3 linked regions of the Oryzias latipes genome follow. The protein of the gene in region 3 interacts with the protein of the main gene of each other region in a pairwise test. Links are inferred from orthologs where the notes say so. Each region holds a gene or a part of one and is shown on either strand. Other genes may lie near its edges.

Evidence for each region.
Region 1: the proteins of git1 (region 3) and lamtor5 interact in a two-hybrid assay, tested with the Homo sapiens proteins (2 studies listed by BioGRID and IntAct). The link is inferred for Oryzias latipes from reciprocal best matches to the Homo sapiens genes GIT1 and LAMTOR5.
Region 2: the proteins of git1 (region 3) and pfdn1 interact in binary tests that used the Homo sapiens proteins (3 or more experiments, as listed by UniProt). The link is inferred for Oryzias latipes from reciprocal best matches to the Homo sapiens genes GIT1 and PFDN1.

Annotation. Positions count from the first base shown.
Region 1 is NC_019865.2:10,897,215-10,901,571, forward strand, and holds the start of lamtor5 (ragulator complex protein LAMTOR5), read right to left. Parts: upstream 2,977-4,357; 5' UTR 2,838-2,976; coding exon 2,803-2,837; intron 2,714-2,802; coding exon 2,652-2,713; intron 859-2,651; coding exon 741-858; intron 1-740. UniProt on the Homo sapiens protein: As part of the Ragulator complex it is involved in amino acid sensing and activation of mTORC1, a signaling complex promoting cell growth in response to growth factors, energy levels, and amino acids.
Region 2 is NC_019872.2:23,089,858-23,094,310, forward strand, and holds pfdn1 (prefoldin subunit 1), read left to right. Parts: upstream 1-1,494; 5' UTR 1,495-1,560; coding exon 1,561-1,659; intron 1,660-2,364; coding exon 2,365-2,531; intron 2,532-3,958; coding exon 3,959-4,043; intron 4,044-4,125; coding exon 4,126-4,209; 3' UTR 4,210-4,262; downstream 4,263-4,453. UniProt on the Homo sapiens protein: Binds specifically to cytosolic chaperonin (c-CPN) and transfers target proteins to it. Binds to nascent polypeptide chain and promotes folding in an environment in which there are many competing pathways for nonnative proteins.
Region 3 is NC_019871.2:27,390,767-27,394,471, forward strand, and holds part of git1 (ARF GTPase-activating protein GIT1), read right to left. Parts: intron 3,288-3,705; coding exon 2,940-3,287; intron 1,983-2,939; coding exon 1,902-1,982; intron 57-1,901; coding exon 1-56. UniProt on the Homo sapiens protein: GTPase-activating protein for ADP ribosylation factor family members, including ARF1.

The sequences.
Region 1 (4,357 bases), on a different chromosome or scaffold from region 3:
TAGAAAAAAGAGATTTTAGACACTATATTCATTTTTTTTTTATTTGAGTATAAATTGAGTTGGTAATTTCATAACTATATAGTTGTTGTTTTTGTTTGTTTGTTTGTTTGTTGTTCAGCTTCATTAGAAGTTTTTTTTTTTTGGTGTTGTGCTACTTAGACAACAGGATTGAATTCTATTTACTTGTGTTTTTGGTAAATTTCTAATTCCAAATGACAAAGTCCATTTCAGAGGTGGGAATTCCACTACATTCAATAGTTTAAAAGAGTCCAGAAGGTGGCAGCATAGTCCAAAAAAATAAATACTCAAATCCAGGTCTGCCTATATGATTATCCATGAGTCTAACCCTCACAACCACTTAATCCTGGATAATATGGTTTGTTTTGTATCTCACTGTTAAGCCACTTTGAATTAAATCATCCATTAAATGACTTAAATGTACAGTATTGAGGAGGTGGGGAAATTATTATATTCCAACATCCGGAAGTTCCAAAAGTCATGAATAGTATAGAGGAGCCAATACTCAGAAAAATAATTAGGCATGGTCTCCCACGTGACCAGCAGGTATAGAGGATGCTCATCTCTGCTGCACCTCTGTGGCACAGAAGTTGAAGCTGATTGCACAGCGTCTTGGAACTCTTATTTGTACACTTCCACATTTAAAACTACAAAGGCACACCTTAAATGCACTAAAACTAAGAAATAGAAGAAGTTGTGCAAAGGCACAGTCCATGGCTCACCCTGACTCGGACTCTAGGCACACAGTCGGTGTGTCCGTCAGGTCTCTGGTGAGAGCAGCTGCTTGTTTAGCCAGAACAGACACCACACCTCCATGTTCATCTGACAGAGATCCACGACCTAAAAAAAAAATATGTCAAAGACCCGCTCTGATGAAAATTGTGTTTTAAACATGTTCTTTTGGCATTTTTCTGATGATGGAGAACATATTCAAAAATGCATTTTTCAGGATTTGTTTATTCAAATCGTTGTGAATCAGCAGAATCCAGACTAGATCCATGGACGTCTTTGTTTTTCTCATCCGAGCAGTTATCGGGTTAAAAACTCTAGGACTGTATAGCTCTGATACTGCTCGCTATTTTTGATGTACCGCTAATGTTAGGCTTGGGGTCTGAAGGGCTGAAAGCTAGCAGGAGAGCATGTAAACAGTAAACAGATGAGTGACGACAAGTGGGCTTACTTCACGCCGACAGTCCTGCTCACAACTCAAGAGGTGAATTTTTAAAAAAACTAGTGCTGCTCTGCAGAAACTTTGTTCTGGAAAATGACTATTTTTTTTGGGTCAAAAACAGCTTCATCATAAATAAAAGACTAGGAATGCTTTTGAAATAGATCAAAAGATGATCAGAGTGGGACTTTAAATGATGACCTGCTTTAGATGCATCCTTCTGCTCATCAGATCAGTTCATTTGGACTGCAGTCTTTATTTAGAATTTAACTTTTTTCTTAAAGTAAATCTGATTTCACGTTTTTACAATGTCAGAGCACCAACAGTGTGATAATTTAACATGTAGCTTTAACATCTGGCAGCAAAGGTGTAATAACCAGCAGCAGATCAGACCACCACAGTGAGCCAGAATTCTTTGCTATGTTTGCTGGTCTGAACTGTTACTATCATATAATAGATCAAATCAGTTTGCCTCAAGAGGAAATTGTTACTTATTCAGTTGAAGACCCATTTTTAAATTATTCCGACTCAGGTCTTCAACACGGAAAACAGTCGATCAGTCATGAGAGCCAGGCATGTCCAAAGTCCGGCTTGTGGGCCAAATCCGGCCCCCTTTCAAATTTTCACCGGCCCGTAGGCTCCTACATAAAATCAACAGAACGCGTCCTGCAACAATATCTAAAAGCTGTGTGGTTGGCTAAATCAGACTTTATAAACCTGTGGAAACACTGTTGTGCGACCCTTTTGTGACACTCTCTAGCTCTTTAAGGGTCAACCTCTTAAAGGACAAATGGAAAATTTGAACATTTTTTCAGTGAAATATAAAACAACTGTGTCTGCCTAATGGGCCAGAAGACTGTGGCTGTTTTCATGGAGTTCAATATCAAGAGAAACTACCAGATAAGACATGCTAATACGACAAGCTAACTGTGAATGAACTGTGCAAAAAATATACAAATGTGACAGTAATTTTGGTAAAAACGTAGTTAGATGTCTGTTTTCTATGTGAAGACTGTCATGTAATCATGAAATGTCATGAAAAGTATCCCATTGCAGTATATTTAATTTAATGTGTTTCAAATAGTTCTAAGATTCACTGCAAATATGGGCCTCTTTGGAAAAAGTAACACATCCCGTTATGTAAGCAAAGGATGTCTTTAGGAGACAGATGTCTACACATGATCTGCACTGACCTAAACACTATGGGTCTTCTTTCTGAGTTACATCTTTGCCTCTCTCACTCACTGGCAACATTTCTCTAATGAGATTAAAGACTAAAACATCAGAAATAACAACATGATCTCTCATAAACAGCTGGCGGTGGAAACTTGTGTTTTTGGGGAAACTAAACTGTTGCGGGAATTTATTTATTAGCGAAACTGACGAACTAGAGAATATCGACTACGGGGTACTTCGTGAATAAATACATGTGATGTGACTTCCTGTTAACTCTGAAGAGTCTTACAGCCCAAGTTGTGTCCTTGTTGGTCCGTGCATAGAACCCCAACAACAGCTGGATTTTTCATGCTGCAGAAAAAACACGAAATCAAGAGAATTAGCCAAACGAATGTACGAAATGTAAAGAAACAAGCTAGTTAGCATAGATTAGAACTCACGTATCGTCAAGGTGTTGTTCGAGGGTTGACTCCATCTTTAGAAAACCGTAAAAAAATCAGAAAATGTAAAGTTCTATGGCCCAAAAATTGTATTTTTTGTTGTTGACGTTTGTTTCCTTAAATTCCTCCTGACAATCATGTGACTGTGACGTACAGTAAGAGACATCGCCAGGGTCAAACAAGACGAAGCGCGAACGGCTGAGCCAACTCAAAACTACAAAACAACCAACTAAAGACAGACTGATAACTGTATCTTTTAGTACAAATTAAAAATAATTGGTTTTCAGTAGAATAGAATAGAATAGAATAGAATAGAATAGAATAGAATAGAATTGACGGCTTAATTCAAATAAATGATTTTTGGTGTATTTTTTAATTCTTGTGACATTTTTCTGATGATGCAGGACACATAAAAAAAATAAGATTAAAATTGCATTTCTGAGTATTTCTTTATTCAAATCGTTGTGAATCAGTAGCATGTGCAAAAATGCCATTTGAAATATCCTGCAGATCTGACGTAGAAGCTACTACAAGCTACTACAACCAGCAGCATTTTCCATTATGATGGATTGGCTTGTAGATGACTAGATCCTTGTACATCTTTGTTTTCTTTGCCAGAGCTGACATCTGGATCAAAACGGTATGGCTGCATAGCTCCAATATTGCTAGCCATTTTTGTTGCATAATTTTAGGTTGGGGGCTGTGAGGGGCTGTAAACTGATGATAGGAAGCAGGGATTGGCTTAGTCCTCGCCAACAGTCCCGCCCACAACTCAGAGATGAATTTCTAATGAACTACTGCCACGCTGCAGAAACTATGTATGTCCCTGAAAACGACAAAGGTTTTTTGATTTAGCCTAAAAGCGGCATAGTTATAATTAAAAGACTACCGGTACTGGAAACACTGAAAATAGATCGAATGATTATTGGAGTGGGACTTAAACTGTTTATCTTACTGCAGTGCAGTGGCGGTTTTTGATATGGTCGATGTGGGCGGTCGCCCAGGGCGGCACTTCATAGGGGGCGGCATTTGCCGTTCCTGAGGCGTTACACATAATATGCTACATACTAAATTCAAAGAGGAAGCTTGGAGCTTTTAATTTGAAATTGCTTGAGCAGCCGACACTTAATGCTTTTATTTAGACACATCAGACTCTAAAGAATGTCTTCCTCCTATTTGCTCTTCACACTTATGGTGCAAAAAAAAAAAAAAAAAAAAAAAAAAAAAGAATACCTCAGAGTGAAACAACGTAAAACCGGCACATGAAAATGAATTAGGCAGAACAAACATCCGTGCTCAACCCAATTTCGAAAAAAGCAGGCAATGGAGATTATTTCCCACAATTCTTTGCTCCGACACAGCAGACCCGATGCGCACGTGACCACCGCCCTCTGCTGCAAGACGATTGCGGCCACACCTCTTTGTAGTCTTTGGAACATAAGTCAAAAAACTCGAGAGGGGAGCGCAGCTCGCCGGTGGCTGGCTGAATCACACTAACAGGTGATTGGGGGTCTTTTTCTATCTGACAATCAACTCTGAGCCGCAGCTGCGCGCT
Region 2 (4,453 bases), on a different chromosome or scaffold from region 3:
GTGTTTTTACAGTTTGCCATCAGAGTAAAAAGCCCATTGCTAAAAAATAAAATTGGCACATTGCTACTGCCAGACCTTTGCGCTCAAATCGCGCCGCAGGACCCCAGATCGTGTCTCTGCCATTGACTCAACCATTGCCATTGTAAAGGCCCGTACACACCGGGACGAATATTCACCAGGCATTATTCGCCAGCGTTTTTCGCCACGTTTTTTTTGTTCACACCCAGGCGATTTTCGCTGACGATGAGCCAAGCGAACATGCAATTTCATTCCCTGACTTTAGATGGCGCTTAATGTAAAACAGAAATACCCCTGTACACAAGGTGGCGCTGCGCAACTTTACGCTTCTTAAAGTCGCTTTTCACTCAGAAGAAGAGAGCAAGTATTTACGCGCTTGTCAGAATCAAACAAAGAAAACATGAATATTTCCAGCACCAGTAGCTCCAGTTCCAGCAATGAAGAAATTATTGTTCTGTTGAATGATGTGTTGCACCGAGTAAAGACTGATAACTGCCGTAAAGCAAGTCAAAGTTTTATTAACACAGGATCATTATTTGCAGTACAATACCTTTATACCGATGACACCACAGCAAACGATGAAAGACGCTGGAAAAGACGCAGATTTTGGGTACATCCCATAGTTACGAGAAGAGAAGAACATGGGGAGTTTTATCGACTGGTACGAGAGCTAAAAATGTATCATGAGCGTTTTCGGGGATATTTTAGAATGTCCGTCATTATTTCTTTGCGGCAGTGTAGATTCCACTTGGCGTCTTATCTTCTTCGCTGGTATGTGTGCTCAGAAAGGCAGTTTTGTGTTTGAGCGCCCCCAAGTTGTGTTTTACTGTAACTTCAGAAGCTCCAGACACGTGTCCAAAAGCCCCATTCTCATTAGTCGTATAGTTTTTGCCGCGTGGCGCCAAACCAAAAAAACGAACCCGAGGCATTTTTTATAAAGTGACGCTTTGAAGCGTGGCGTTTTTTCACGTCGGTGTGCACACTCACATTGGTGCCCTTTGTTTAGTCATGAGGCGTTAAACATCGGCGAATATCGCGCGCGAAATTCGTCCCGGTGTGTACGGGCCTTAACTGGCCACCTCTGCCACGAATCTCGTTCAGTGTGAACGCACCTTAAATGTAACCATAACACTAAACTTAACCTTTCCTCTGGGTCCGGGTGTTCAAGAATTAAGTTTTGCACTGGCCACAAGTATTTGGAAAATGACGTGTGAATAGTGCTATGCAAGTGTATTCAACAATTTTTACAATTTCTGGGACTGTCTATCGGTCTTCACTCAGGCAAGACGCAGCTTGCAGATAGGGGGAATCGAGGGCGGAGCTAATCAGCACCAATAGCCACGCCCATGTAGAGGAGTTCTTGGAAACACGCTTCAGATAAACATGACATTTTAAAGACATTTGGCTTGTGGAATTTTAGTTAAAAAAAACGTCGTAATTGTAACTAAAACACCACTGGGAACGTTTTTATTTTTTTTAAAAAAAAGGTCACGGGGAGTTTAAATAGATCATCGTTACTGGGAGGGGCTGTGGGCAAACTTGATGCTGCCACAAAATAAGCCCGAAGAAGACAATCTTGCGCATGCGCACTCGAAATCTACTCTAAAGATGGCGGCGCCCGTGGACCTGGAACTAAAAAAGGTGTGTAGTTTACAGGACGCCGAACACATCATATGTCTGACGCACGTGGTTGCGCATACTCTCCGATATTGGGTTACAGGCAGCTACCGCTGGTAGTTATTAGTGTGACCCATACCGCATTCAGTGGTGCACGCGGAAGGTTCACGAAATTCGGCTGACCGGTCACTTCACTAGTAACAAACATGTGAACCGGACCATTGTGTACCTGCACCGAATCTTTGAACCCCTTAGAGCAAAATGAGTTTTGAGGTTGCCCCCCCCCCCCCATCTCTTTGAAACGGCCGAGCATCCTTTCTGATCGGGTGGACCATATTCCAATCCCACAATCCTTTGCGGTATTAACACTGAGACAAAAGATGATGGGGTTTGAGGAAACCAGATTATGACAAACATGCTTGTAAATGTTAAAGTCCAGTTTTCCATCTTTCAGTGTCGTGGATTATTTTAGGTCAGATGTCGTTTTTTTTTTTTACCTCCTTTATGCAAACATTTAAATGGTCCAGGTTTATATCTTCATAGACTACCTTCATGTAGCAGATCGCTTTGCTTGTTAACTGATTTACAGGAGAGGCAGTGTTTCATTTTTCTGTTTGACTTCCTGAATCAAGCCAGAGAAAAGGAAGAGATGGGAGAAATAGTGAAACTCTGATTCTCTCCTGGTTTCCTTTTCGACTTTGAACAGAGCGATACTTCCTGTCTCTGCAGGCATTCGCCGAGCTACAGCTGAAGATGATTGACACACAGCAGAAGGTGAAGCTGGCCGACCTCCAGATTGATCAGCTGACTCGAGTTCAGAAACATGCCAAGCTCACAAGCACAGAGATCTCCTCGCTGCCGGAAAACACGCGCCTGTACGAGGGCGTCGGCCGAATGTAAGTGTGCTCTCCTGTAATCAATGCCAACTCACCAAAGAACACAGATGAGTTAGACACATCTGAAAAACATGAAACCAGTCTGGTTTTTCCATCAAATGTCTGGTTCTGCTTTGGAAATCTCAGTGTCACACGGTTCTACTGCAGTTGTGAAACCATGTGCCTCTTATTTTGAAAACTTTACATTTATTTTAAGGAGATCTCCACCAGATTCACATAAATTTCTTTTTGGAGAGGTTTTGATTGGCCTCATTGATGCTACTGAGGCTCCATGAGAGTTCCAGACAGAGGAATTCTGTCTGACCTGATTGACTTTATGAACTTCACATCCAGTCAACACTTTTATACACAAGTTTGAAGAGGATGTGCGTTTAGCAACTGATCTGCACAAACACTGAGCTACATAAGGGTTAATGGCCAACAAAGTGTGCTTTATCAGCATTAATGCACTTTATGCGTTAATGCTGATAGCACTCTTGCCTCGGAGCAAGAAGGCCACTGGTTCAAGTCCCGGCTGGGGGACCTGAAACAGAACATCAATGGGGGACCTTTCTGCATTGAGTTTGCATGTTCTCCTCGTGCATGCATGGGTTTTCTCCGGGGTCTCCAGCTTCCTCCCACCGTCCAAAAAGATGCTCCATAGGTTAATTGGCAACTCTAAATTGTCCATAGGTGTGAATGTGAGTGTGAATGGGTGTGTGACTGTGACCCTGCGGCAGACTGGCGACCTGTCCAGGGTGTCCTCTGCCTTCACCCATAAGTGGCCGGGATAGGCTCCGGCAGCCCCGTGACTCCGAAAGGGAACAAACGGAAGAAAATGAATGAATGAATGCACTTTGTGGAAGCAACCGTCCTCCGCAGTTGCTTCCATAAAGTGCATTAATTTCTGATTGTGCCCACTTTGACAGCCGTTAATCCGCTGCTACCATGATTACTTACAAAAGAAATAAATATATAACCAGTTTTTAGGCCTTTCATTCTAACATTTTTATGGTTCCAATCTCTTTTTTTTCTCTTCACAAAAAGTCGACTATTTGTTACGTGTCACGGTAACATAACGCGCTGCTTAGCCCCACTGACCTCGACTGCTGCGGCAAAGGAAAGCAATATATATGCTGATCGTCACCACGGGTTAAATAAAGCATCAGTTCAGAGAGAAAGTTTACCTCTTTTAGTCCAGATGATGAGGCTGAAGTTTGTTTTAAAGAAGCCAGTGCAGTGATACAGAACAGTTAAGCTATGTGCCCGGAACTTCTTTTTTAGGCGTACATTATCACCGTGGATTATCACTTTAATGCACACCCAGCAGCCAATCAGAATCGAGTATTCACCCGGACCATGGTATAAAGAAACGTTAATGTCTGAATGCTGCCTTTAGGTTCATCTGCCCTGCCGATCCTATAGATGACAGAAAACTGTTGTTTCAGGTTCATTCTTCAGTCCAGGGAGAAGATCAACAACCTGCTGACAGACAAACAGAAAACCGTGGACGAGAAGATCAAGGAGCTTGAGGTGCGAGTGCCTGCTCCATCACAGCTCGCAGTGCATGTTTGCGGGTTTCTGACTGTTGCTGCCCGTTTGTGGTCTCTTGCAGCAGAAGAAGGTGTACTTGGAGCGCAGCGTGAAGGAGGCTGAAGACAACATCAGAGAGATGCTGCTGTCCAGAAGAGCTCCGTAATCCGTTTTTTTTCTGTGCCACGTGATCCCAATAAAGCCCCTCCCACCCCTCTGTGTTGGTGTGAAGTGTCTCCTAAAGGTCTGTGAGGACCATGTAGGTTTGAAGGAGAGATGAGGGTCAACCAAACTGCAGTGGGGGTCAGTGACTGGGACACAACAGCAGAAGGAACCTCCACGGGCCTTCAGACTGGATGTTCTGTGGTTTTTGTCACAGACACAGTACAGTTCTGTAGAAAGATGTCAGA
Region 3 (3,705 bases):
TGCGTGTTGTCATAGTCGCTGTCTGTGCCACTGCCGTGCTTCTCTGGTTTAGGCACCTGCAAATAGAATCATTAGAAGAGATCAGAGGCCATCCAGCCTAATGCACAATCCCAGCAGAAACAGGGTTTTCCTTCAGTTCAAACCCAAGTATCCAGAGAAGCTCAGAGGCTGAAGATCATCCACAGGAAGAGCCGTACACCTGACCTTTAGTGCCTCTCACTCATCCTTTTACAGGACAAGAAACTGCACAGTCATGCTTATCCGCCCACCACTTCTATGGGTTTCCAAGAAGATTTTGGTAAATGGCGTGTACTTGTATAGAGCTTTTCTACCTACAAGGCCCAAAGCGCTTTACAGTCACTCACACATTCACACACTGGTGGCGGCTCCGCTGCCGAACACTGGGCACCAACCTTCCACCAGAGGCAAGGTGGGGTTCAGTGTCTTGCCCAAGGACACATCGAGGCATGGGTGTGCAAGGCGGGAATCGAACCTACAATCTTACGCTCATGTCTCGACCGCCCTACCACTGCACCACAGCCGCCCCCATTTTCTTCATTGCTGAGCTGAAACTTGATAGTGTTATCTTATTTTTTGGGGCGGGTTGTTGAACTCCAGCATCCTCCTACTGATTACCTGCATCAGGTGTGTTTTGCCAACAGGAAGCTGCCTATTGGCCAGGTTTGTTGTATAACAGCTGTGCTTCAGACGGTTTTACAAAATAAAAGCCCGGCGGCCATCAATAAACAAGAAGAGATGACTTCAGAACAGTGACCCCTCCCCCGTCACATTCTAAACAGGAAGTACCTGCTGTCTCCAAGAATACAAGATCTTAAAAACGTCTATAGAGAAATAAACAGCTGCTACTCAGTCATTCTATTAGTCAGAATAACCCTTCTTGATCTGATACCTTCTTTTTTTTCCATATTCCCGCTGATTCTATGTTTCTGGTTCACTTAAGCCCACGTTCAGTGGAAGGGGTGTGGACTTCCAACAAGCTTACTTCTGGTTGCCGTAGAAATGATGACTCAGACCAATCACAATGGTTGTGCCCACATTCCTTCACTACTCACTGCATAGTGCACTCGTCAGTCATTTTGTAACTGTCCCAATCTACGATTCCAAAATCCAGTCCCCTAAAAAAATTCCCACGTCTCTGCAGAGAAGCTAGTGTGCATCAAGGCTCGATAGACTGGTAAATATAGACCACAATGCATTGCATTTTAATATTTTTTATCTGAAAAAAGTATTCCAATTCATTTGTTATTGATTAGGGCTGCACGAAATGAGAAAAACTTGCCATTTTAGTGATCAATATTGCGATGACCATTTAACTTGCGATACATGAATAAATATTAAAACAACCAAAGTCATCATTTCCATTTCACTGCGACAGTTTAATTTAAATACGAGTCCAAATAACTTAAATCAGACTCCAATTTACCCAGTCTGACATCAAAGCTGTGATTGGTCAACAACATCCCATTGGTCAAACGCATAAATGGATTAAATACTTCAAGCTGCCATAAGATTGTTTTGGCACATTTAAGTAACCATTTATTGCAGTTTTCTCCGACTTTTGCGGTATGCGTTTAGCACAGCTTGACATCACCAGAACGATCAATTTGAGATTTATTGTGCAGCCTACAAAATAAATGATCCAAGTTCTCATCAACAAAAAATGGTGGATTTGTGGATTAGTCTGTGTAAAGTGTTCATGAAATTTGGCTTTTACTTCGGCAAAATTGGTGACATTATATTTGGGGTTAAAAACAAAAATGTGGCCCCAACATGGCAGCTTCCATTTCACACAAAACATGGAGACTAAACTATTTCCTGTTTCTATCCAGTTCTAGTAGACGGTCTATGGCTCCAACAGATAAACGCAGCTATAGACTCACCATGTATCTGCCCACCTCTGTGGAGCCGGACAGAGGCTGGCCTCCGTAGGTCACTGCACCCCCCGTGCCACCTTTTCTCACCTGGGAAGATGAAGGAACACACGCATGAAGAGTTGACATGTTGACATAGAACAGACGTGACTAACAAGCCAGAATTCTAATTGGGACTAAGGAAAGGACCAAAGACGGCAAGAAACAGGATGAGGAAGCACCGGATCATAAGAGCAGCTCTGACATCACCTCATCATGAGCGGCACTGATCGTCTAACAAACCAGCTCTAACTATACTGGCCATTATTTCACTACAAACATCTACAAAACCAGATCACTTGAGTTGATTTCAAGCTCTGAGATGAGCAGATGAACTCAACCTCCTTAGATGAAGTGGTGAACAAAGCAGTGGCAGACAGAATGCTTCCATCCAGAGGATGCACGGTCGCACCGCAGTGAGCAAAGGAGAGACGGGCCAAAACAGACAAAACCAAAGACAGAAAGAAAGTGTCAGAAGACGGTCAGTAGAAAACTGGATTAGCAACACAGTGGCCTCCAGTGAGTCGCTTCTCTACCCAAATACTGATCAGAAACCTAACCAAAAACCATCATTTTCAGACTTTTTGCTAGAGATTCAATAGTGAAGTAGAGATGAGGACATGCTCCTTAGATGAGTGGGAGACGTTCAGGTGAAGCAGCAGTCAGGGAGCCATGTCAGAGGTTATGAAAGGGCTGGAAAAGGTGCAGGGAAGAGAGCAGAGAAAAGTCCAGTCCCCCCCCCCCCCCTGCCCCCCCCCATCTCTGCTCATGTTTGTGCACTTCACCCTTTATGCAGCTAAAAAGCCCGGATCCCTTTTCTAGAGTAGACTGGGTGATGTGCACATCATGACCTTTCAATGGAAGCAGCGGTAACGGAGTGACAGAGCAGGAGGAACGGGGGGGGGGGGGGGGGAAGGATTTTCCCACATCGCCTCGGCCGACGGCGGTCGATCGGGAAGAAAACCGGGAAGTGGAAAAAGTTCCGGAGGGGGCGGGGTTCTAACTTACGCTAGGTGTGTTGAGGGGCTGCAGGCGAGCTGCCAGGGAGTCCAGGGCTGGGGGGCCATGGGCTATGGGGCCAGGAACGGCTCCGGGCACGTACATTGAAAAAGCCTGGCGCTCCCTCCAGTGGGGGTGGGAGTGAGAGGCGGTTGAGGAGGGCACAAAGAGCGATGGGGAGACCATTCCTGGTCCAGCTGAGCCTCCTCCGTCTACTTGATTTCCTCCCCCTGGCCAGTGTCCTCCTCCTCCTCCTCCTCCTCCTCCTCCACCAGGCCCTCCTAACCCATGGCCAGCTGCCCCCCCAGCCTGCTGGCACCCCCGCAGCACGCTGTTCTCTGTCTGCATCCGGGTAATCTATAAGAGGCAAGGAAGGGAGCAAGGGGGGGATGACAGGATGGAGGGAGGAACATGGGGAGGGTGTAGGAATGGAAGGGGGGGGCATAAACTGAATGGTGAAAAACATGCTGGAAAAAGCTCACAATCATTAAAAAACAGGGGGTTTCACACAGTAACATCAGTTCTACAGTATATTTCTCTCATTTGTATTGGGGACCTGCCTGAGCCTGATGAAGGAACGGCTCGTTTGCAGAGCGCTGCTGCTGGATGGTCTGATAGTTGAATGTTTGCTTCTGAGCTTTTGTTCTCAACACTCAGTGAAAAGTCCAAATAAAAGATGACAGACGAATGAGGCGCGTCAAAACTCAACCAAAATGTGGGACGTTGTCTGCAGCCTCTCAGCAAGAACACTGGAGGTTTCGAAAAGCTGCCCTGC